Linked DNA regions of Rattus norvegicus. The protein of the gene in region 1 interacts with the protein of each later gene in a pairwise test. Links are inferred from orthologs where the notes say so. Each region holds a gene or a part of one and is shown on either strand. Other genes may lie near its edges.

Region 1 (7,649 bases):
GCTGTTCCTTTCAGTGTGCTCCCCAATGCTGCTCCTTTCAGTGCTCCCCAATGCTGTTCCTTTCAGCGCTCCCCAATGCTGTTCCTTTCAGTGTTCCCCAATGCTGTTCCTTTCAGCGCTCCCCAATGCTGTTCCTTTCAGCGTGTTCCCCAATGCTGTTCCTTTCAGCGTGCTCCCCAATGCTGTTCCTTTCAGCGTGTTCCCCAATGCTGTTCCTTTCAGCGTGTTCCCCAATGCTGTTCCTTTCAGAGTGTTCCCCAATGCTGTTCCTTTCAGTGTGCTCCCCAATGCTGTTCCTTTCAGCGTGCTCCCCAATGCTGTTCCTTTCAGCGTGCTCCCCAATGCTGTTCCTTTCAGCGTGCGCCCCAATGCTGTTCCTTTCAGCGTGCTCCCCAATGCTGTTCCTTTCAGTGTTCCCCAATGCTGTTCCTTTCAGCGTGCTCCCCAATGCTGTTCCTTTCAGCGCTCCCCAATGCTGTTCCTTTCAGCGTGCTCCCCAATGCTGTTCCTTTCAGTGTTCCCCAATGCTGTTCCTTTCAGTGTTCCCCAATGCTGTTCCTTTCAGTGTGCTCCCCAATGCTGCTCCTTTCAGTGCTCCCCAATGCTGTTCCTTTCAGCGCTCCCCAATGCTGTTCCTTTCAGTGTTCCCCAATGCTGTTCCTTTCAGCGTGCTCCCCAATGCTGTTCCTTTCAGCGTGTTCCCCAATGCTGTTCCTTTCAGTGTTCCCCAATGCTGTTCCTTTCAGCGTGTTCCCCAATGCTGTTCCTTTCAGCGTGTTCCCCAATGCTGTTCCTTTCAGCGTGTTCCCCAATGCTGTTCCTTTCAGCGTGTTCCCCAATGCTGTTCCTTTCAGCGTGCTCCCCAATGCTGTTCCTTTCAGCGTTCCCCAATGCTGTTCCTTTCAGCGTGTTCCCCAATGCTGTTCCTTTCAGCGTGTTCCCCAATGCTGTTCCTTTCAGCGTGTTCCCCAATGCTGTTCCTTTCAGCGTGCTCCCCAATGCTGTTCCTTTCAGTGTTCCCCAATGCTGTTCCTGGGACAGGAATAGGAGAGCAAACTATCTAACTAGAGACAGAGCCACAGCAAGAGGAAGAGTCTGAATTTAAGAGTTGTGCTCCCAGTGGAAGGGGAAGCCCTGGGTCCTGCCAAGACTGAACCCCCAGTGAACGTGATTGTTGGGGAGAGGGCAGTAATGGGGGGAGGATGGGGAGGGGAACACCCATAGAGAAGGGGAAGGGGAGGGGCTAGGGGGATGTTGGCCCGGAAACTGGGAAGAGTTGTACTCAGAGGTACAGGGCTTGGCTGGCATGCCCTGGGCTCAATCCCCAGCACTGCCAAAACCAAACCAAAAACCCAGTATGAAGAATGGCAAAAAGTATTGAATCAATTAATATTAATGGAAATAAACTATATATTATTTCACTAGCGTCTTCATAGAAATTAAAATACATGCATAAAGCGATGCTGGAAGCTAGACCAGAGAGGCAGGTAATAGTTTACTTCTACCCACCTTTTGGGATCTCAGCCACCTGTTGGCATGCAACTGAGACACTATTGCAGGAAATCAGGTCACCATTCTCAGGGCTGGAGAAAGGAATTAACAAGGTCATATCAATAACCTAGGTTTCTGTCTCCCAATAACATCCACTATGAGTGACTTTGCTGTTGGAGTGAATTTCCCCTCCCTGAGTCAAGGAACCCCCACTAACCGTTAGCCCACACGGCCACACCCACTACCTCTGAGATGGAGCAGCAAGGAGCGCATCCAGGAGCTGAGCCGTGCCATCCACGATGTCCAGGACAGCATTTCGTACCAGCTTTCTCAGGGTGATTCCTATGGCCAAACCCAAACAGTAAGCTGTCTGGCCATGTCAAATGTCACCACCTGCTTTCTGCAGTCTTAGTGTACCAGACCCATGAGGTAACTGATACCCACGCTTACATCCCCCATCAGAGCGGGGCTCCAGCCTTACTTAAATTCTCAGGCATTTTATTGCCCCTCTTGCCACTCCCAAGAGCTGCTCTCCAACAGTTTTGGAAACAAGTCTTTCCAATTGTATTCATTCATGAAGGACACTGCCCTTAGATAAGTGTGAGCAAAACACTGGGAGTTTAAAACATGCGTAAGTAGCCCTGATGAACTATGGTACGTTCTCATTCATTTTCTCTGTAGAGCTTCAATGAAGGTATAAATCTACAGGTTGGTGTACTTTAACTTGTGAAGGGGTTTGCAAATAGGTCCTGGTGTAATGGAGGAGGAGGAGGAGGGTTGGGATGGCCTGGTCATGGGTATGGAGCTGAGATCCAGCAAGCATATATAGCAGTTAGAATGGACTGAAAAGGGATTAGGAGCCGAGAAGACAAGATATTTTTGAAAGTGCCAGTTACATAACCATGATGTCTTGAGTTCAATTCCCAAGACCTACACACTGGAGAAAGGCAGACACACTGGAGTGTACCCATAATGCCAGTGCTGGGGAAGCAGAGGTAGGAGGCTCCCCTAGGGAATCCGTGAACTCCAGGGAAGACTCTCTCATGATCATGTGGAGATACTGGCTTCCACATGTACTCGTATACACATGCATAAGCACCTGAGTAAACACATGCACCCACGTGTGCACATACATACACAGACACAGATAATGAACAATTTTTATAAAGGACCAATTGAGGGGCTGAGGATAAGGCTTGGCAGTTAAGAGCACTCAGTGCTCTTCCAGAGGACCCAGGAACAACCAATAACCATAACCCATAACCCATAACCCATACGGCAGATCACACTGTCTATAACTTCAGTTCCAGGGGAACCAACAACCTCTTCTGACCTCAGCAGGAACCAGACATACATGTGGTACACAGACACACATGCAGACAAAGCACCCGTACCCATAACATAAAATAAAGAATGTAATGTCCAGTTAAGATGGCTCCGCAGGTGAGGACTCGCTGTGCAAGCCTGAAGATCTGAGTTGGATCCCAGGAACCCACAATGGAGGGAGAGAGCCCATTCCCCATGTGTGTGCCTACACACACACACACACACACACACACACACACACACACACACACACTTTTTAAAGAATTAGGTAGGGCAGTAATGATAGGGAAATCACAGTTACATAGCATCTGTACCTTCACATAATGGACTCACTCACTTCCCATATGGAGTGACACAGGTCACTCACATATAAAATTATCTTTGACTTTATTTCACAGGAAAGTCACATGCTCAAAAATGAAGAAAAATAGACATGTATAATGTGTTTACATATAAATATATAATATTACATTGAAGATAAACACATAATGTTTACATGTTTCATGCTTACATATTAGGACACAGTCTACTCCCTTAGCAAAGGTCTAGCCTGTACATCCAACACTACTGTGTATACAGTGACTTACCCTGATCCTTAGGAAATGTGTAGTATGCTGCAATTACTTCCTCAGTGGCAATGTGGACTTGCTCACAGATCCTCTGGGTTTCCTACGAGGTGAAATTCAGAATGAATGGTCAACATTAATGCTGCCAACCCATTTACTAAGGAAGAGATCAGACATCCATAAGCATGATTAAATGTTTTATGAAAACCTGTCATGAGTCAGGCCTTATGATGTACTCTTCCCACAATATAAAGAAATTAGGTAGATACCGGACAATTCTAAAAAGCATTACAAAAGGAAGGGCAGCCTTGGCTATCCTGGAACTGGCTCTGTAGACTAAGCTGGTCTCGAACTCAAGAGAGCAGCCAGCCTCTGCCTCCCAAATGCTGGGATTAAAGGTGTGCAGCAGCAGCAGCAGCAGCAGCAAACTTCTCACTAAAGGGTTTTGTATATAGCAGGTGTTGTTAGATAGTGTGAAGGCATTTAACTTCTCCTCCACTATTTATTGAACCAAGCCTCTAAACAGGCTTACTCATCTGTCAGATAGAGAATATGTATGTGAAACAGCTGTAAATCAACAAGGGCTTTAAAAATTATTAGGAACTAACCCGGCTGAGTTTCAGACTAAATTTAGAAGGTCTTTCTACCCTATGCACTTGGCAATTTGGCCTTTACAACAATCCCATGCGGTGAGAACTGTAATCTCGCTTGATAAATGGGGGAAGTAAGTGTGGCTTGAATGCAAAAGATAAGAAAACTAGAGGATTCTTAAGGAGACAGCACAAAAAAAAAACTCCGGAAGTAAAGCTCACCTGTGGAGATGGCGATGGAATTTTAGAGAAGAGTGTGGTCAGAACAGTGGCTTCCCCAGACACTTTCATTGCTGCTTCATCTGGGGGTGTCAGAGGCAGCGGGTGCCAAAGTTAGTGTTAAAAGGTTAAAGTTGCCACTTGGACTTTTTAGATAACGGGTCCCTTCTCCACCCTTACCAACACTCCAAAACAACTCCAGAAATGGTTTTATATTTCAGCCTCAAGTGCGGAGAATGGGTAGCAGAAGGGATGAGGACTGGGAGGAATTGTCATCTCAGGGGACAGCAGAAGGAAAAGAGGGTAGGATGCAGGGAGATGGAGGAAGAGTCCGCAACGGCAAAGACACTCACTGAGTCTTCTCCAAAACATCTCTCGATTAAATTCCTCGGCTGTCTCCTGGGCTTCGCCGACTTGAGGAAGGCCGGACCACCCGGGAAGCAAAAGACATGTGAGAGGAGCCCTGACCTGACGCCCGACCTCCCTACCCGGAGCCTGGGGTTGCAGATTCCCACAACTCACCCCGTACTCGAGGCAGAAGCGACCGCAGCTCCTCTGCTAAGTGCCGGAGCTGCTCTAGAGGAGGAGCAAGGAACGAGACTGGGGTTGTCGAGCTCGCCATCGCAGCCTCTCTTCGGGAACTAACCCAGACACTTAAGCCATTTGACCCCGCCCCCAGTACTTCCGGTGCTGAAGAACTCATCTCGTTTCCGGCAACACACATCGCGTCCCGCCCCTTCCTCCCCAATGTAGTGAGTCCGCCTTCCCAGGCAGCCTGGCCATCAGTCCACGCCTCCGCCCGCTTAGAGACCCGCCTACCCGAATCCAGCCCATCCAGAAACCTGCCCACGCCCCGCTGGCCGGGCCTAAAGACCCAGCCACGCCTCCTTCACCTGCCCTTGCAAATCTAGAGACTTGTTCAAGTGCTTGTCCCTGACTACCCCCACTACCCCTCCCTCCGTGACACTAGGCCACTCCTTACAGGAAGACCCAGTTAGGCATCTTCTGACCTATTAGAGATTCTTTTAAGTAACGGAGCCTTTTCCCTGCAAAGATGTATGTGGCAGTGCCTGCAGAGGCCAGAGAGGGCATCAGATCACAAGGCCGGGAGTTACACCATGTGGGTTAAGGGAATCGAACCTGTGATCTTTGGAAGAGCAACCAGCACTTTTAACTGCTGACTCCAGCTTCGGTGACTGTTTCTCCTACCCCCAAACACCAGGCCCACTTTCTGGTTCCCATAGGTTTATCAACATTGCAGATCCGTTTGTGATATTTCTTTGTTAATACTTATCTTTTATTATTTTTTTAAATTACGTGTAAGTCTGTGCACATATAAATGTAGGTGTCCACAGTGGCTCTGGCCTGGAACTAGAGTTACAGGCAGTTGTGAGCATCTGACATGGTTGCTAGGAATTGAACTCAGGTCTTCTGGAGGTAAAGTACATGCTCTTAACCACTGATCTCTCCAACCCAATGTTTGTGGTTATCATTCATTCATTTATTAGTTGAAAACAGCTTTGACTAAGGAAGCAGGAAGCCCATAATTCTTGGGAAAACAGGCTTGGAAGTCAAGTCTCAGGAGCGGTAAAGGCCCACTTTCCACAGGTTCCCTAGGCATAAAATGGCATCCTGAATTCCAAGTTTGGGCTGGATGCTTTTCACAGGATGACCCTTAATAAATACAGCAGTGCTGAGGGACTCAGTGACACAGAGACCCCACCCTGGCAATCTCCTTGATTAGGGCTCTTTGCCTCTGAAGAAGAGTCATTCGTTAGACTTTTCTGCAGTCCACACAGCAGGAATCAGTAGTAAACACTTCCAACATTCAGACGTCCAAGGAATGACAGCTTCCTGAAGCTCACCCACTGATACTGGCTTTCCCATCTGCCACTGGGGCAGAGATCTGGGCCACAAATGTGGAGGCTGGACTTCTTCCAGGCCGCTAGCGGTAAGCCATGGACTTCAGGAGCTCAGATGACTTTTTAACTGCACCATGAATATTCCAAGTTCAGTGGAGTTCAGTGTCCACACACGATAAACGAGTACAGGTGTCAGCAATGTCAACCAGGTCCTCAATGGGGAGAGTAGAAAGGCGAGGGAGCCATACGTCACATGAAGGAAGTAGCAAGAATAAACCTGCCACGTGTACAGTAGAAGCATAAGCAGGTGAACAGGAATAATCTGCACGTATCTTCCCTGGAGGAGATGAGACCTGAAGTTGTGACCAAAGCAGCGCTGTAGCAGACTCCAGCATGTGTAAGCCGTCAAGGGGATGTTAAAGAACACCAGCTAGAAAAAGAAGGCAGAGCCATCAACCCACCACATCACTAGTAACTTCTACTAATATGGCTTTAGATTGTTTTCTCTTGGAGGTCGGGGATGGGGATACAACTCAGGGATTTGCATGTAGGGATTTGCATACAGGGATTTGCACACAGAGATTTGCATACAGGGATTTGCAAGCACTCTTGAGCTATGTTCCAGCTCTTATATGTCTTTTTTTTTTTTTTAAAGACAAAGTTTCTGTCTGGCTATCTCAGGATTAGCTCTGTAGACCAGGCTGGTGTCGAACTCAGAGATCCACTGTCTCTGGCTCCTGAGTCCTGGGACAAAAGGCTTGCACCACCATACCCAGCATATGTCTGATTTTTAATGCATTGATCATACCTGTTAGTAAGAGAACAGTTGACCTATAGTTAACTGTGTATTTGCCTGTCCTTTCATCTATCCTAAAGGTAGGCATCACTTATTGAAGTCCCTATTATAACACAGATGTATACTTCAGATACCAAGAGTAGATACACAACCATGTTTACATTGGAAATGAACTGAGTAATCTGCATAGGCACACACCAGAGATAGATTCTATGTTGATGAGTGAAAGGAGGATGTAGGTATCAGTATTGAGATAACATCTGAGTACTGACATATACATTGGATATAGGTATAACCAGATGTAGTTGTGTGGTTCATTCAACAAATATTCATAAAGCGCCCATTACACAGCAGGCCCTGTGCTAGGCTCTAGGTCAGAGGCACATTGATGAACAAGTAACAAAATAAAAGGGGGTGGGGTGGGCAGCAGGCTAGGGAGGAGAGATTAAAGTCCTTTTACAGAGGACCCAAGTTTGAGTCCCAGCACCCACATGAACCCTGATAACTGTCTGTAAACTTCAAAACAGGGGTTTTAAAGCCCTCTTCTGGTCTCCCAGGGAACTGTAGGCACACGACACAGAGATATACATACAGTAAAACACTGATGCACATAAAACAAACATTAAAAAGGGATCCCTTAAAGACAGATATGCATACATATATATCACAGACAAACATGCAAGTACAAGAAACATAATTACAGGTTGTGATAAGTTCAATGAAGGGAGTAATTGGCTCATGAAAGGGTGGCTGGGAGACAGACTCTTTGACCATGAAGGGCAGCAATGAGTCAGCTGAG
Region 2 (6,767 bases), on another chromosome or scaffold:
GGTCTTGGTTTTACTTTTTATTTTTGTCAGAGATGGTTGGTTTGTTCAATACAACGTCTTCCTGTGTGGCCCTGGCTAGCCTTAAACTCCACAGCAGCCCTGCCTCCGCCCCGCCCTGAAACCCACGCCCACCCCCAGCTGTTGGTGTATAAGCCTGGGGGCTTGTTCCTCAGGCAGAAAGGCAACAATGGTGGTGCTCAGTCTTATGTGAGGCCATGTTACAACCGCTTTGGGACCTCTGGGGCTTGCTGCCCTTGATCAGTGTAACAGCATTTGTACCCTGACCTGCAGTGACAGTCCTTTCCTGTAGCTCAGGATTTAGAAAAACACAAGCATAAATCCATACACTGTGCTTGGAACTCCACAACGGTGACACACACCCTCTTGGCACACGGAAGTCTTTTGTGAGGACAGCCTGTTTTTCTATGCACATTGGTCTGTGAAGTTAGTCTTGTTCTGTGCTACAGGAGGGGACTGAAGTTCAACCACTTGTTTTCAACTACGAAATAGTGTTTAGCTGGGCCTGATGGCACACACCTTTAGTCACAACACTTGAGAGGCAGAGGCAGGCAGATCTCCTGAGTTCAAGGCCAGGCAAGCCTGTTCTACAGAGTTCCAGGATACCCAGGGCTACACACAGAGAAAATATTAAAGACCAACAAAAACCAATGATATGAAAGACTATTGTTTTTAAACTTCCCATACCCAGGAAACGCCCCCTAAACTTCGCCCTTGGCTTAAGGATTCCCGTCTTGCCTTTCCTTAAAACCCACATGAGTCCACATTCCTAACACATGCTTCCCTTGGGCTTGCCTATAACCCTGACTTCATGGGGCCTTGGGATATCAGTGGTAACTGTTGTAGGGCATTGGGAAATGAGGTGACCAAAAATGCATTGCAGTCTTGGAGAAATGAGTCCTGGATCTTACTAAGTTGGGGAGCACTGCAGTGTTGGTGGTGCTTGTCTGCTGTGTAAGAGCCCCTGGATGAGCTGAGCCAAGTCTTCCATTTCTAGTTGCTCAGAGTTTAAAGCAAGGGTTTTTTCTATATAGTAAAAGATGATTTTTAAAATTTATTTTTGTGTGTGAGTATGTGCCATCAGTGTGGGTCCCAAAGTAGCCAGAAACTGTCCCCATGTCTTGGAGCTAGATATACTGACAAGTGAAGGTTCCTGTGGGGGCTGGGGCCAATTCTAGGCCTTCTGCAGAAGCAAGTCCTCTTAGCATGTGCCTTCGGGCCCCAAAGGTAAAGTGGTTTATTCTAAGCTTGGTGATGCCTGCCAGGCGGACCACAAATTCAAAGGTAGCTTGGGTTAAATAGACTGTCAAAAAAACAAGTGGTGTTGCCCCCTAACAATGAGTTGAAACCCCCAAAACAAGACGTTCTGCTGTCCATATTGCTGGTTATCAGCCAGATGTACTAGCTACTTAACTACATGGATAGGCATTCCCGCAGCTAGCATACTGCCTGCCATTTGGGTTTTATAGACTATGGAGAAACAGCCACTGAGCCTGTCTGAAAGACTACAGGGAAGCTTGGTGTGGTGTCAATGTGGAGGCAGACACAGATCCATGTAATAAAGGCCTATCAGACACTGCCCTCAAAATCAGACTTTAGGGGGCCCAAGGTCAGCTCTTGGTTAAAAGCTGTTCACCCAGCCCCAAAGCATCTGACAGGGTTTCACAAGTCTTCTGGGGTAGGGGAGTGGAAGGGCGACTCAGGTTAAGAGCACTGATGCTCCTTCAGAAATCCTGGGTTTAATTCCAAACAATTCTTTTCAGCCTTGGAGATGGCTCAGTGGGTAAGGCATCTGGCCAAACCAGAGCTTAACTGGGATGTCTGGTGCATGATGGGAGGTGAAAGCCTACAAGGGGCACCAATTCTCAGATTGCCTCTGCTCGCACTACCTGACTTAGCTGTTCCAACAATCAGGATTTAAAAGATTTATGTGTAGAAGTACACTGTAGCTGTCCTCAGACACCAGAAGAGGGCATCAGATCCCTCTTACAGCTGGTTGTGAGTTATGTGTTTTGCTGGGAATTTAACTGCAAAAGCAGTCAGTGCTCTTTTTTTTTTTTTTTTTTTTTAAGATTTATTTTATGTAAGTGCACTGTCTCTGTCTTCAGACACACCAGAAGAGGGCATCAGATCTCATTACAGATGGTTGTGAGCCACCATGTGGTTGCTGGGAATCAAACTCAGGACTTCTGGAAGAGCTCTTAACCTCTGAGCCATCTCTCCAGCCCCAGTGCTCTCTTTTTTTTTTTTTTTTTGGTTCTTTTTTTTCGGAGCTGGGGACCGAACCCAGGGCCTTGCGCTTCCTAGGCAAGCGTTCTACCACTGAGCTAAATCCCCAACCCCACTACTAGTTTTTTAATTGGTTATTTTATTTACATTTCAAGTGTTAACCCCTTTCCTGCGCGCACGCGCGCGCGCACACACACACACACACACACACACACACAGCCTCCTAGCTTATGCTCCAACGCCCTGCTCCCATGAGGGTGCTCACCCATCCTCTACACTGCCATTCCTCTACACTGGGGCATCGAGTCTTTACAGGACCAAGGGCTTCTCCCATTGATGCCCAACAAGGCCATCCTCTGCTACATATGCAGCTGGAGCCATGGGTTGCTCCGTGTGTACTCTGGTTGGTCGTTTAGTCCTTGGGAGCGCTGGGGTGTCTAGTTCGTTGGTATTGTTTTTATGGGGTTGCAAATCCCTTCAGCTCCTTCCGTCCTTTAACGACTCCACTGGAGACCCTGTTCTGTCCAATGGTTGCCTGTGAGCATTTGCCTCTGTATTTGTCAGACTCTATCAGGAGATGCAGTCAGTGCTCTTAACCACTGAGCCCTCAACTCCGCCCCCCACCCCACCCCCGCCTCCGTGATACAGGAGTTCTATGCATCATTCCGGGAAGTAACTTTTTCATCAAACCCAAACGACTGCAAAATTAGAAATGCTTTTTATTTTTTTCTTTTCTTTTTTTCGGAGCTGGGGACCGAACCCAGGGCCTTGTGCTTGCTAGGCAAGCACTCTACCACTGAGCTAAATCCCCAACGCTTTTTAGATATGTTTCACTTTATCAGTATTATTAGAATAAGCTGACCCAGGAGGTCGTGCTCTGTTACTGTGACTAGGAAAACTTGTTTCAATTACACAGATGGACTAGAACACAGTATAAAGTTGAAGTTCACCGTCCAAAACCAAGATTACTGGGCAACACTGAATCCCCCATGAATACTGGGTCTGCTTGAGACAGATCGTGGCAGATGCAGAAAGATGAGTAAAGGTGGCATGTGTCCAGACTCTCAAGTTCGTGTAGGATCCTGTCACGCCCTCCGGATCTCAGTTGCGGAAACACCTCGAGCCTCAGGAATCCCTTGGGCCTCCATCGAGTTGGTAGGCTGGGCTGCCCCGGGACGGCTCCTCGATGGTCGGAGGCTGCGTCCTCGAGTCTAGGGCGGCAGTGCAGGATGAGGCGGCCGAGCCCGCGTCTTCCCAGGGCTTGGACTTCCGTGGGAGCAGAGACACCGTGGGTTCACCGTGGGTCGCAGTGATGTGGCGTTTCTCCAGGCCTGGGAGCTCCTGGCCCTTCTGGACCAGATGCAGGAGCTCCGCCAGGGTCACCGAGGCAGGAGCCGGATCCGCAGACGAAAGTGCTCCGCTCCGGCTGCAGACTCCGCCAGGCACGTCCATGTCCTGCCACCAGCTCACCCCCGGAACCGGGCCACAAGCACTTCCGGGTGGCGTGGAAGCAACCACCTTAATGGAATGGGGAGGGGAGGCCTCACACCATATCAAGGAACCTAGCCCAGGGTAGACCCCCAGAACCCGAGCTATTTGTGCAGAAGCTGAAGCCTCCGTTAACCTCCAGGTCTCATTCTGCAACGTGAAATATATTTGGGGTGTGGGGGCAATGAACGAGCCAAAAGGTTTTGCACCCACTGAGACAAGTGTGAGGAGGCGAGGCTGTAAAAAAAGTACCTCCCTTCCGCACTTGCATGCGCACGCAGAATGTGCGCAAGACCGGGAGGGTCTTCTTTGTTTTTGAGATTAAGTTTGGCACTAAAGTCCAGACTGATTGTTCGCTTTCCCCAAGCGTGCCGCTCTTCACATCTGTTAATTGTGGTACTAAGGATCCAGTCCCTGGGCGGAGGTGGGGGAGGGGTGCTGTTGTTTGGGACTTGGTTGTCCGGTTTGGTTTTGAGGCAAGGATTCATCGTCTCCCACAGTGTCTGCCGCGCTACACCTCCCAGCTCGGATGTTCTGATTTCTGAAGTTATCAAAACTAGCCTGAGAAGTGGCCCACGCCTGTAGTACCATATGCTTGGCCCATAGAGCCAGCCTGAGCTACATACTGAAAGATGTAGATATATAATAAATAAGCAGCCTGATCTGGCACACCCCAGGAATCAGAAAAGAACGCATACTCTGCATAATGTTAGAAGCATATAGCACGCTTACCCTTCACTGTAAACAACCCTATGAAACCCAAAAAGGTGGGGTGGGTGAGGTAGCTCAGCAGGTAGGGCTTTTGACCTTTATCCCCACTCCGTTGATGTTTTCAAGGTCTCCTGTAGCCAAAACTGACCTTGTACTCAAAATATAGTGTGTGTGTGTGTGTGTGTGTGTGTGTGTGTGTGTGTGTGTGTGTGTACGTGCACGTGTGCGACTGTGGATCCTTGTCTCTGTGGACTGTGGGCAGGCCTCCACGCCCACCTGGCATTTATCTGGGTTTGTGGGCATTTCGCACTCTGACCCTCACACCTGTGTGGCAGGCGTTTAACTGCTGACCAATCCCAACTCTAGCTTTTTTTTTTTTTTTTTCCTTTTTTTCTTTTTTTTTTTTTTGGAGCTGGGGACCGACCGAACCCAGGGCCTTGCGCTTGCTAGGCAAGCACTCTACCACTGAACTAAATCGCCAACCCCCCAACTCTAGCTTTGAACCTCCCCAGTGCTGGGATTAAAGGGGTGCACCGTCATGTTGTATGGTTCTGGGAATAGAACACAGGAGTTTATATATATTAGCCAAGCCCTCTACTCTATGTCTTGCAGCCCCTCATGGCACCCTCTTCCTCATGTAACGCTGAACCTCTTAGAGTTTTCATATTGCAGAACTGTGAGAAATAATTTCGTTTTTTTTTTTTTCTTTTGGGAACTGAGGATTGAACCCTAGGCCTTGTACTGTAGGCAAGCACTCTATCACTGGGGTATATCCTGAGCACAACTTATTTTCCTCATAAATTAACCTAGTGTGTGCTATTCTGTCATAGCACCATACAATAGCGTGATTTCAATCGCATCCAATTCCCACCTCAGCGCTGTGAAACTCTGAGGGCATATATATGCCCCCTCCCCCCATCTCTCTTCTTTTCTTTTTCTTTTTGAGACAGGGTTTCTCTATTCAACAGCCCCTAGCTGTCCTGGAACCAGTGTGGTTCTGTAAACCACACTGGCCTCGAACTCACAGAGCTCTATCTGCCTCTGCCTCCTGAGTGCTGGGATCAAAGGTGTGCACTGCCACAGCCCGGCTTGTCTTTTTTAATATTTTCCCCTTTAATTTTATTTTATTCTGTGCATCCATGTCTGTGTACTACATGCATGCAGTATTCCCAAAAGCCAGAAGAGGGCAACAGAACCCTTGTTTTTTAGCCATCATGTGGGTGCTGGGAATTGAACTCTTTGGTTTTCTGGAAGGACAGCCAATACTCTTAACCACTGAGCTATCTTTTTATTCCTGGAGGCCATTATTTCGAGTCATCAGTGATCTCTCCTGTAGCCCCTGAAGCTGTCTCTTCATCCTAGCTCATCCAACTTCCTGGACCAGACAAAGTTAGTTCAATGGGCTCCCTAGCTTTGGGGTCTGACCAGGAGGTGGGAGAGGGCAGCAGGAGAAAAGAAGAGAAGGATATGACAGATTTCCTTCTGTTTCCCCTCTTCAAGGTCACATTGGCACAGCCCATCCACGAACACAGCCCTCTGGTTTAAGGTTCTGACACTGCTCCCTTCTCACTCTCTCAGGTGCTGTGTTGCCCCTGGGAACTCCGTTGTCCTTGCCCACATCTCTGTCAATGGACTCTACTAAATTCTCCTCAGATTTTCCAATGCCCTTGTATCACTCTTTCCTGCCCTTCCTCACCAACAACACTAGAAGTGGTTCCTTCCAGGGTGTGTGTGTGTGTGTGTTATGACTGCACCTCCCACATTGTTGAAGGGTATGCATGTGACTGGTATTGTGTGTGAGGAAATCATGAATAGATGAGGTGCATGGTCTTGTTGCTTGTTCTGATGCCCACAGGAGAACACAAAGGGGTCATTAACATCTGACAGAAGGTGTGATGGTTTGTATATGCTTGGCCCAGAGTGGCACTGTTGGGAGGTGTGGCCTCGATGGAGTAGGTGTGGCTTTGTGGGTGTGGGCTTTAATACCCTTGTTCTGGCTGCCTAGGGGCCAGTATTCTGCTAGCAGCCTTAAATGAAGATGTTGAACTCTCGGCTCCTCCTGCACCATTCCTGACTGGACGCTGCCATGTTCCCGACTTGGTGATAATGGACTGAACCTCTGAACCTGTAAACCAGCCCTAAATGTTGTCCTTATAAGAGTTGCCTTGGTCATGGTGTCTGTTCACAGCAGTAAAACCCTAAGACAGAAGGTGAGGGTACACCCAGGGTACCTTGATGGTCGCTTGGATTGGCACCCTGGCAGAAACCTGGCCTTGAGACATCCCTGTAAGGTCACCAGGTTCCAGTACATCAGTCCTTCC
Region 3 (7,667 bases), on another chromosome or scaffold:
AAAAGAACAGCCCAAATCACTGAGTAGGAATGTCTCAAATAAGTAAATAACCCCTTTAACTCGTTTGTATTTGCATGTGTCTTTAGGAATGTGCTCACACCCACCTCCCCAGATCGGCTCTGCACTCTGCCTGAGGACTTACTGCTTTTCTCTCTGTCGCTCGTAGCTTTCCATGTCAGGTTTGATCTGCTTGGTCAGCCGGTGATACTGGCGCAATTGGGCAGCAGCATAATCTAAACAAAAGGAAAGCCAGAGGCGATCGGCGTCCTTATCTGGGCATTCGTTATAAAAGAAAACTCAAAACTGTCGCACCTGCACAGGGCACTATCCTAAGCACAGCCTCTGCCCAACAGGCTGACAAGAGGACGGGCTAATTCTGTCAGGGGTGGTGGCACTATCCTAAGCACAGCCTCTGCCCAACAGGCTGACAAGAGGACGGGCTAATTCTGTCAGGGGTGGTGGCACATCCCTGTGAGCCCCCACTCAGGAGGCAGAGGCAGGAGGGTCCTGAGTCTGCAGACTGCCTGGGCTACAGAATAAGCCTAAGGAACAAAATGGCTGCAACAGCAAAGGCTAACTTTACACTAAGGGCCAACACAGCCAGCAGATTGACAGGAAGCCCCGGGTTCTCCTTGGCCTCCAAGAATATTCCATGAAGGTCAGTGGGCATGCGCTCTCACTAAAGCAGAAGCCTTGGTCCAACAGGCCCACACAGTAAAGCAGAGGTCAGCCAGGCCAGCTGTACCTGAAAACCCCAAGTCAGGGTTCTTCTTCTTCTTCCTCCTCTCCCACCTCTCAGCGTCCTCCGCACTGATCTCCAGCAGTTTCACCTTCTCGTAGTCTTCCCCTCGAGCTGCACACTCCTGAAAGGACAGGCAGCGCTACCCACCGCACCACCCACCCTGCCACACAGCATGCATTCCCACTTTTTGTTTTTTTTGAGCTGACCTCAAACTCAAAGCAATTCTCCCACCTCAGCTTCCCAAGTGCTGGAACTGTAGGTGTGACACACCACGCTTACCCATCTGACCTTTCTTAAATGAACAAAGACTCTATCAAAGTGTCAAGTAAGGCCATCAAGGTAGCTCAAGGGATACAGGTGTTTGCTGCCAAGCACCTGAGTGCTCTTATCAGGAGGCACATGGTGGAGGAGAACTGACCCTCTAGGTTGTCCTCTGACCTCCACTCTTGTGCCCACACACATACAAAATAAAAATGTAATAAAATCAACAGAACCGAGCAGGAGTCCTTTTTAAATGCTTTGCAGATGTTAATTCACAGAACCCCTAGTTCATTCAAGTAGCCATTATGGTGCTTGTCCTACAGACAAGCAGAGAAAGGTTCCCTTAGGTAAGTGGCCTCTCCACCTACTCAGCTACCAGCTCTCCTGTCTCAGTGAAGGGAGGGGCAGAGGCTTCCAAACCTTCTTCTTTTCTTCTTCCTGGAGTTCCCACTCCAGACGTGCTTTCTTGGCTTCCCAGTTAGCAGGCAGCTTAAGTCTTTTGTCTTCTTCCACAACTTCCTGGTGATTTAACTTACGAGCTTCATTCTAAAACCGTAAGAGAACAGGCCATCTGATAAAGCAGGAGAAGGACCCTGTCTTATTTGCAGTGACTAAGGGACCCCACTTACCCTGCAGGCAGTAAAGCCCAGCAAGTGAGCTAAACTAAGCAGGGAACCGACTGAGGTTTAAAAGAGAATGAAAAAAAAAAAAAAGAGAATGAGATGCTGTGCTGCTGAGCTGGTGTTCAGAGTCCCAGGGCTACGTCACCCCTGCCCATTCGGTTGGGTGGTCCCTTGCATAAAGGGTTCAGAATAAAGGTTGTCAAAGCGCCCTCACTGCACCCCACCATGGTACAGTAGCAATCACAGATTTTTATGAGTGTATTTTGTTCCTGTAGTGTTTTTGTGCCTCGTAGTTTCTGTGCAGGTCAGAGGTCAGCTCCCAGGCCACAGCTCTCTTCTTCCACCATGTGGGTTCTGGGGACCAAACTTAGGTCCTCAGTCTTCTCACAGCAAGTGCTATCTATCCACTCACTGAGCATCATCTCACCAGCCTGAAAGACGGTCTCCTTTTAACACAGTTTAAAAAAACCCAAAAACCAAAAACCTCAGTTTGGATTTGGAGTGCTTTCATGCCTGTTAATCTCTAAACTGTTACTCCAGGACAAGGGAAAGGAAGGGACATCCACCCAGGAAGTAAAGAGCTCTCAATCAGATAAACATTAATGCTGTAAAATTAGCATAATGTACTCTAGGCTAGCCTCAATCTCCATCTCCCTATGTAGTCAAGAAGTCTATAAACTTGCCAAGCCAGAAATGGCAACTTTAAGCCCGAGAGCACGTTAGGTTAAATAGAATGTAGGCAGGCCACGGACTGATGATGTCTGATCAGGAAGACGAGCTCCAAAGCTCCAGGCACACGGTCTGCAAACATTCCCTTTATAAGCAACATCTAAGCACATGACTTACTACGTTAACTTTTTCTAGAAAAATACTTGTGGGATTGGTTTTTTGCGTAGCATGTGAAGACTGGCTTTGAATATTTCTTTACTGTGTGTTGTGGATGTTCACATGTGCATGGACACACGTGTGCAGTGTACATGCATGTGAAGGCTAAGACATGTTGGGTGTATTGCTCAATTGATCTCTTCCTTAGATATTGAGGCAAAGATGGTCACTTGAACTCAGAACTCAGTGTTTTGCTAGTCTGGCTGATTGCTCAGCTTGCTCCAGAGATCCTGTCTCTGCCTCCACAGTGCTAGGATTAGAGGCAGGCACCACGCCCACCCAGCATGTATGTGGGTTCTTGGTGTCTTTTGCAGCAAGTGCTTGACCCACTGGTCTATCCCCAGCAGATAGAACAGCGGTTCTCAACCTGTGGGCTGTGACCCCCACAAGGGTCACACATCAGATATCCTACATACCAGATATTTACAACAGCAAAGCATGAAGAAGGTTGAGAACCACTGTTTACAATGTAAATTTTCAGAGATGTGCTGGTTCATTTGTTTGTTTTGTTTTATATTCTTGGAGGCTCAAAGGCCATTTTAAAAAAAAAAATTAGTTCTGGGGACTGGAGAGATGGCTCAGTGGTTAGGAGCACTAACTGCTCTTCCAAAGGTCCTGAGTTCAATTCCCACCAACCACATGGTGGCTCACAACCATCTATCTGTAATGAGATCTGATGCCCTCTTCTGGTGTGTCTGGAGACAGCTACAGTGTACTCATATATAATAAATAAATCTTTTTTTTAAAAAAAAGCTCTTTTGAGCTAGCAAAATGGTTCAATAGTTAAGGGTGACTGCCACATAGCCAGATGACTTCAATCCCCGGAACCCACATTACAGAAGGAGAAAACCAATTTACTCCTGTTGTCCTCTGCCATCTACATACACTCCATGACACCTGAGCACATATACATAGAAAAACAAATACATCTTATTTGTGTGTGCACGTGCATGCCTCAGCCTAGTGGAGAGCTCTGTGGATAACCCTGCGAAGTCAGTTGTCTCCTTCCACTTTGACCTGAGTTTCAGGGATCCCACTCAGGTGGTCAGGCTTGTACCAGGGCTCTAAACACTGAGTCATCTCGACAACCCAAGAAAAACTTTATTCAAGTTTTTCAAGACAAGTTCAAGACAAAAAGCAAGTGAAGAGGGCTGGGAATCTTGGCAGGAGCTAGAAGGGAGACACTGAGAAAATACAGCCATGCCTTATCAATTACATTACAAGAAAAACAAGCAGGTTCAGCAAAAGGGTCAAATGGGCAAGTTGTCACATGGGGAAGGAAGGGAGAGGAAGCTGTCTTCACATAAAGAATGTCAATGTCCAGAGTGTCTGGGCAGCCATGCTTTGGATTTGAGTGGGTATCCAAACAAGGAACGGAAAATAAGTTATTGAGTCTGAACTCAGGAAAGAGGGAAAGTGTGTGCTCACTCTTTTTAAGGTGAGAAAGGTCTTACTAAGAATAAGAAGTTCCTTCCTGTTTCTAACTAAATATTTACCTAGATGAAAAGGAAGCATCATGGAACAAGAGGGAACACCTAACCTGACATACACCCAGTCTTGTGGGTGGGACCGGGTAGAGCAAGCGGGTGTGGCTTTTGACCTGTGTCAAAGAGATCTCAACCTGAGTCCTGACCATCTGGAGATCTGGTCCCGGGAACGCCCCGTTCTGAGATCTGGGGCGCCTTCCTCCTCCAGCCCCGCGCCCGGCCTGGCCCGTGTCCCCGCCACTCACCCGCTTCAGATGCAGCTCACGGAACTTGCGCAGTCTCTGCTCTCGCTTCTGCGCCGCCAGCTCCTCGGCCGCCAAGGGCCTGGCTTCCGCGCCGTCCGCGGGTACCTGCGGTCATACCCGGCTTCAGGCTCGACGTCCCCCGACAGCCACGCCTCGGGCCTGGGCCCGACACCCCGGCCTCCCCGGTAGCCGCACCGGGATTCGCCCCATGTCTCCCCGCCCCGGCGTCTCCCAGACTAACACCTACGCGAAGCCGGAGGTACTCACCACAACTTCAGTCACAGCCGCCATTACAGCCTCCTCCACTTCCGTCAACAACACTGAACACTTCCGGCGGCCTCTGGCCCGCTGCCATTAGTCAGGCCCTCCCGCGTGGCGTCAGTTTCTTCCCGCCTGTCACGCTCCTTTAAGTGAGTGGGGCTACCGCGAGGTGTGGCCATGCGCAGGCGCAAATAACCCGGGACGGGGGCGGGGCGACAAGGGTGAGGAAGTGCTCAGAACCTGTCACTTAGAATGGAATGGCTGATTGGCGACTGAGTATCCTGTCACCAGCTCTAAAAAAACCTTGTCTCTCTTGAGTTTCAATCGCATTAAGTCCCTTCCATAGAGTAGATAATTTTCTGATGTTACTAACTGCAGAAGAACAGGGCCAGCTCCATATTGTTCACTCTCATATTCCAGTACTACAGTAACTACTGACGTCACTAAGATAACTCAGGAATTGGACAGGGATATATGAAATGAAACGTGTTCTGTTCTAAGTCGACAACTAATTAGATGTAGAAATGAAAAAGCCATCCCCCGATTGTAAAAATGTCTGGGTACAAATCAGTTGTGGTGGCATGCTCTTAGCATCCCAGCTGGTAGAGGCAGGAGAATACCAACTATGAGGCTTGCCAAGGCTACACAGTGACTTCTAGACTAGCCAGTGCTATAAGAACGACCCTTTATTTCGTGGGATATCTAAATTAAAAGCTTAAACGCTGACAAGAAAAATGCAAATTACGGGCAACTCTTTTGAGTCCGCCTCCCCTATAGGGAGCTACTTTTCAAGCTCAGTAAAACTTGGCTTGCCCTTCAAAAACAAGTTTTAAAAAATTAGGGGGTTGGGGATTTAGCTCAGTGGTAGAGCGCTTGCCTAGCAAGCGCAAGGCCCTGGGTTCAGTCCCCAGCTCCGAAAAAAAAAAAAAAAGAAAGAAAGAAAGAAATAAAAGAAAAGAAAAAAAATTAAAGCCCCACGAAATATTTAAGTTAAACGCAAGCTACCATAGGAAAGTCTCAGCTCAGGATCCCCCAAGACCAAGTTCTTAGCATAAAGGAGATTTATTTGTCCTAAAAGGACAGAGGGCAGGGATGGGTGACAAAAGACAGGACAAGTAGGAGACAAGAAAGGGTACAAAGAGGAGAAAGGCAAGGGAGAAGGGTAAGAGATTATTTGTCCTGGTGAGGACAGGGGAGGGATTAAATGGTGATTTATAAAGGGGGAAGTCCCCTGTTAGGATGAAGTCTTTCATTTTAATTGGGCATGTTAATTAGGGTAGCCAAAGGAGGCTTTTGATTGCTGTACTAAGATTTTGATAACTGGACTGTGGTGGTCAGCCTCAGGAAGAGGAAGTGGCCATGTAGTAGACCTTGATGGCCAGTTTGAGAAATGTAATCTAATGTTTTTATGCAAGACAGTGAGAATGGGGAGGACAAGGCTTGCCACAGCCATGTTCACCATACTAGAGCTGGCCAGAGTTCCTTCAAATGGGGCATGGTGGCTCTCACCTTTAAATCCTGCGAGTTACAGCTCAGTCGGTTCTACCCAGTGAGTTCTAGGCCAAGTGACACATTGAGACTATGTCTCAAAAATAAAAGCAGTTGGGCAATGGTGGCACATGCCTTTAATCCTCGCACTCGGAAGGCAAAGGCAAGATGATCTCTGAGGTCAAGGCCAGCCTGGTCTACAAAGTGAGTTCTAGGACACAGCTACACAGAAAAACCCTGTCTCTGGAAAAAAGGGAATGAGTTACTTGGCTAGAACTGGTGCGTGTGAGTTGAGTCTAAGTAGCACAGAAAATCCCCACAAATGACTGGGAAGGCTATACGTGCCTCTAAGTGAGGAAGTCACAGCCTAATTTTTGTACGTATGGGTGTTTTGCCGGAATATGTATATGCCCCACCTGCATTGCAGCCTGGTGCCCTGAGAGGTCAGATGAGGGTGTTGGATCCCCTGAAACTAGTTATGGTGGTCCTGAGCCACCAAGTAGGCTCTGGGAATGGAACCATCTTGCTTTCGAAACAGCCCATCAGCCAGTGCCCCAAAACTTATTTTACTCATGTGTCTGTGTCTTGTGCATTTCAATGCAGCGGCCAGACCTTGAATCTCCTAGTACTAAAATCTCAGGCAGTTGGTAAACACGGTGTGTCAGGAGCCAGACTTGGAGCCTCTTACAAGAGCAGCCCATGCTTGGCCACTGAGCTATCTCCAACCCTATGACTATCTTATGTCTGTATTGTAATCTCTATAGTTGTATTTTATATGTAAACTAGCATATACTGAATGTACCTTTATTGACAAACCTGCCACCATCTTTAGTTGCCATGTCATTCACTCAATCAACGTTCTTTTGGTATCTTTGTTTCTGAAGTCTCACTATATAGTCCTGTCTGTCCTGAACTGAAGATCTTGGCCTTGAGCTCAAAGATCCTCCTCCCTCTGCTGGGATTAAATATCTGTGCCCTCATTAGCCTCAGCTAATCATTTTCTGATCCTGCCTGCCTGCCACCTCCTGAGTTCTGGGATAATAGACCTGTACCCCCACACATGCTCTATACCTTGTTGGATATTTACCAACTAGACTACATCTCCAATTCATTTGTTCCTTTAAAAAACAAAATCTCAGGGTTGGGGATTTAGCTCAGTGGTAGAGCACTTGCCTAGCAAGCACAAGGCCCTGGGTTCGGTCCTCAGCTCTGGAAAAAAAAAAAAAAAATCTCATCTGGTACTGTAAACAAAGGGTCTGAAGGTACCTGGAAGAGAATGGGGGACAAGGGACACGAAGAAGGATGCCAAGACAAGAGTCTGATCAAGGCGACAACTTTATTTTTTCGCAAGGCTGAATTTATACCATAACATGGGTAACAGAGAGAGGGGGGAAGTAAGAAACATTTACGAAGGCCAAGGACACAATATTCATGTGGTCAGGGAGTAGACTGATGTTGACAGGTTGTCAGAAAGGTCACAGGTTTGTCATATCTATTAGTCAGCAGGATGTTGGTTTTTCAGAAAGGTTACAGGTCATCACATTGGGTATCTTTATCATATGATTATTATTCTTGACCACCAGATTTGTATTAGTCTTCTGCACCTGGCTGGGGATTTTCCATGAACCTAGTCATACTTAATTCTAACGTCAACAATGGAGGGCTTCAAGGGCAT

The links. The genes of interacting proteins can lie anywhere in the genome.
Region 2: the proteins of Ccndbp1 (region 1) and C9h6orf226 interact in binary tests that used the Homo sapiens proteins (3 or more experiments, as listed by UniProt). The two-hybrid records come from large-scale screens. The link is inferred for Rattus norvegicus from reciprocal best matches to the Homo sapiens genes CCNDBP1 and PEX39.
Region 3: the proteins of Ccndbp1 (region 1) and Syf2 interact in binary tests that used the Homo sapiens proteins (3 or more experiments, as listed by UniProt). The link is inferred for Rattus norvegicus from reciprocal best matches to the Homo sapiens genes CCNDBP1 and SYF2.

What each region holds. Positions count from the first base shown.
Region 1 is NC_086021.1:128,413,402-128,421,050, reverse strand, and holds the start of Ccndbp1 (cyclin-D1-binding protein 1), read right to left. Parts: upstream 4,815-7,649; coding exon 4,715-4,814; intron 4,606-4,714; coding exon 4,546-4,605; intron 4,276-4,545; coding exon 4,196-4,275; intron 3,487-4,195; coding exon 3,405-3,486; intron 1,834-3,404; coding exon 1,737-1,833; intron 1,584-1,736; coding exon 1,510-1,583; intron 1-1,509. Other genes in the region: Tmem62 (transmembrane protein 62 precursor), read right to left, coding at 6,158-6,484. UniProt on the Homo sapiens protein: May negatively regulate cell cycle progression. May act at least in part via inhibition of the cyclin-D1/CDK4 complex, thereby preventing phosphorylation of RB1 and blocking E2F-dependent transcription.
Region 2 is NC_086027.1:21,702,662-21,709,428, forward strand, and holds C9h6orf226 (uncharacterized protein C6orf226 homolog), read right to left. Parts: upstream 4,082-6,767; 5' UTR 3,700-4,081; coding exon 3,373-3,699; 3' UTR 2,947-3,372; downstream 1-2,946. UniProt on the Homo sapiens protein: May be a peroxin involved in the PTS2-mediated protein import pathway.
Region 3 is NC_086023.1:152,437,057-152,444,723, reverse strand, and holds the start of Syf2 (pre-mRNA-splicing factor SYF2), read right to left. Parts: upstream 4,554-7,667; 5' UTR 4,535-4,553; coding exon 4,511-4,534; intron 4,349-4,510; coding exon 4,244-4,348; intron 1,550-4,243; coding exon 1,424-1,549; intron 864-1,423; coding exon 746-863; intron 234-745; coding exon 143-233; intron 1-142. UniProt on the Homo sapiens protein: Involved in pre-mRNA splicing as component of the spliceosome.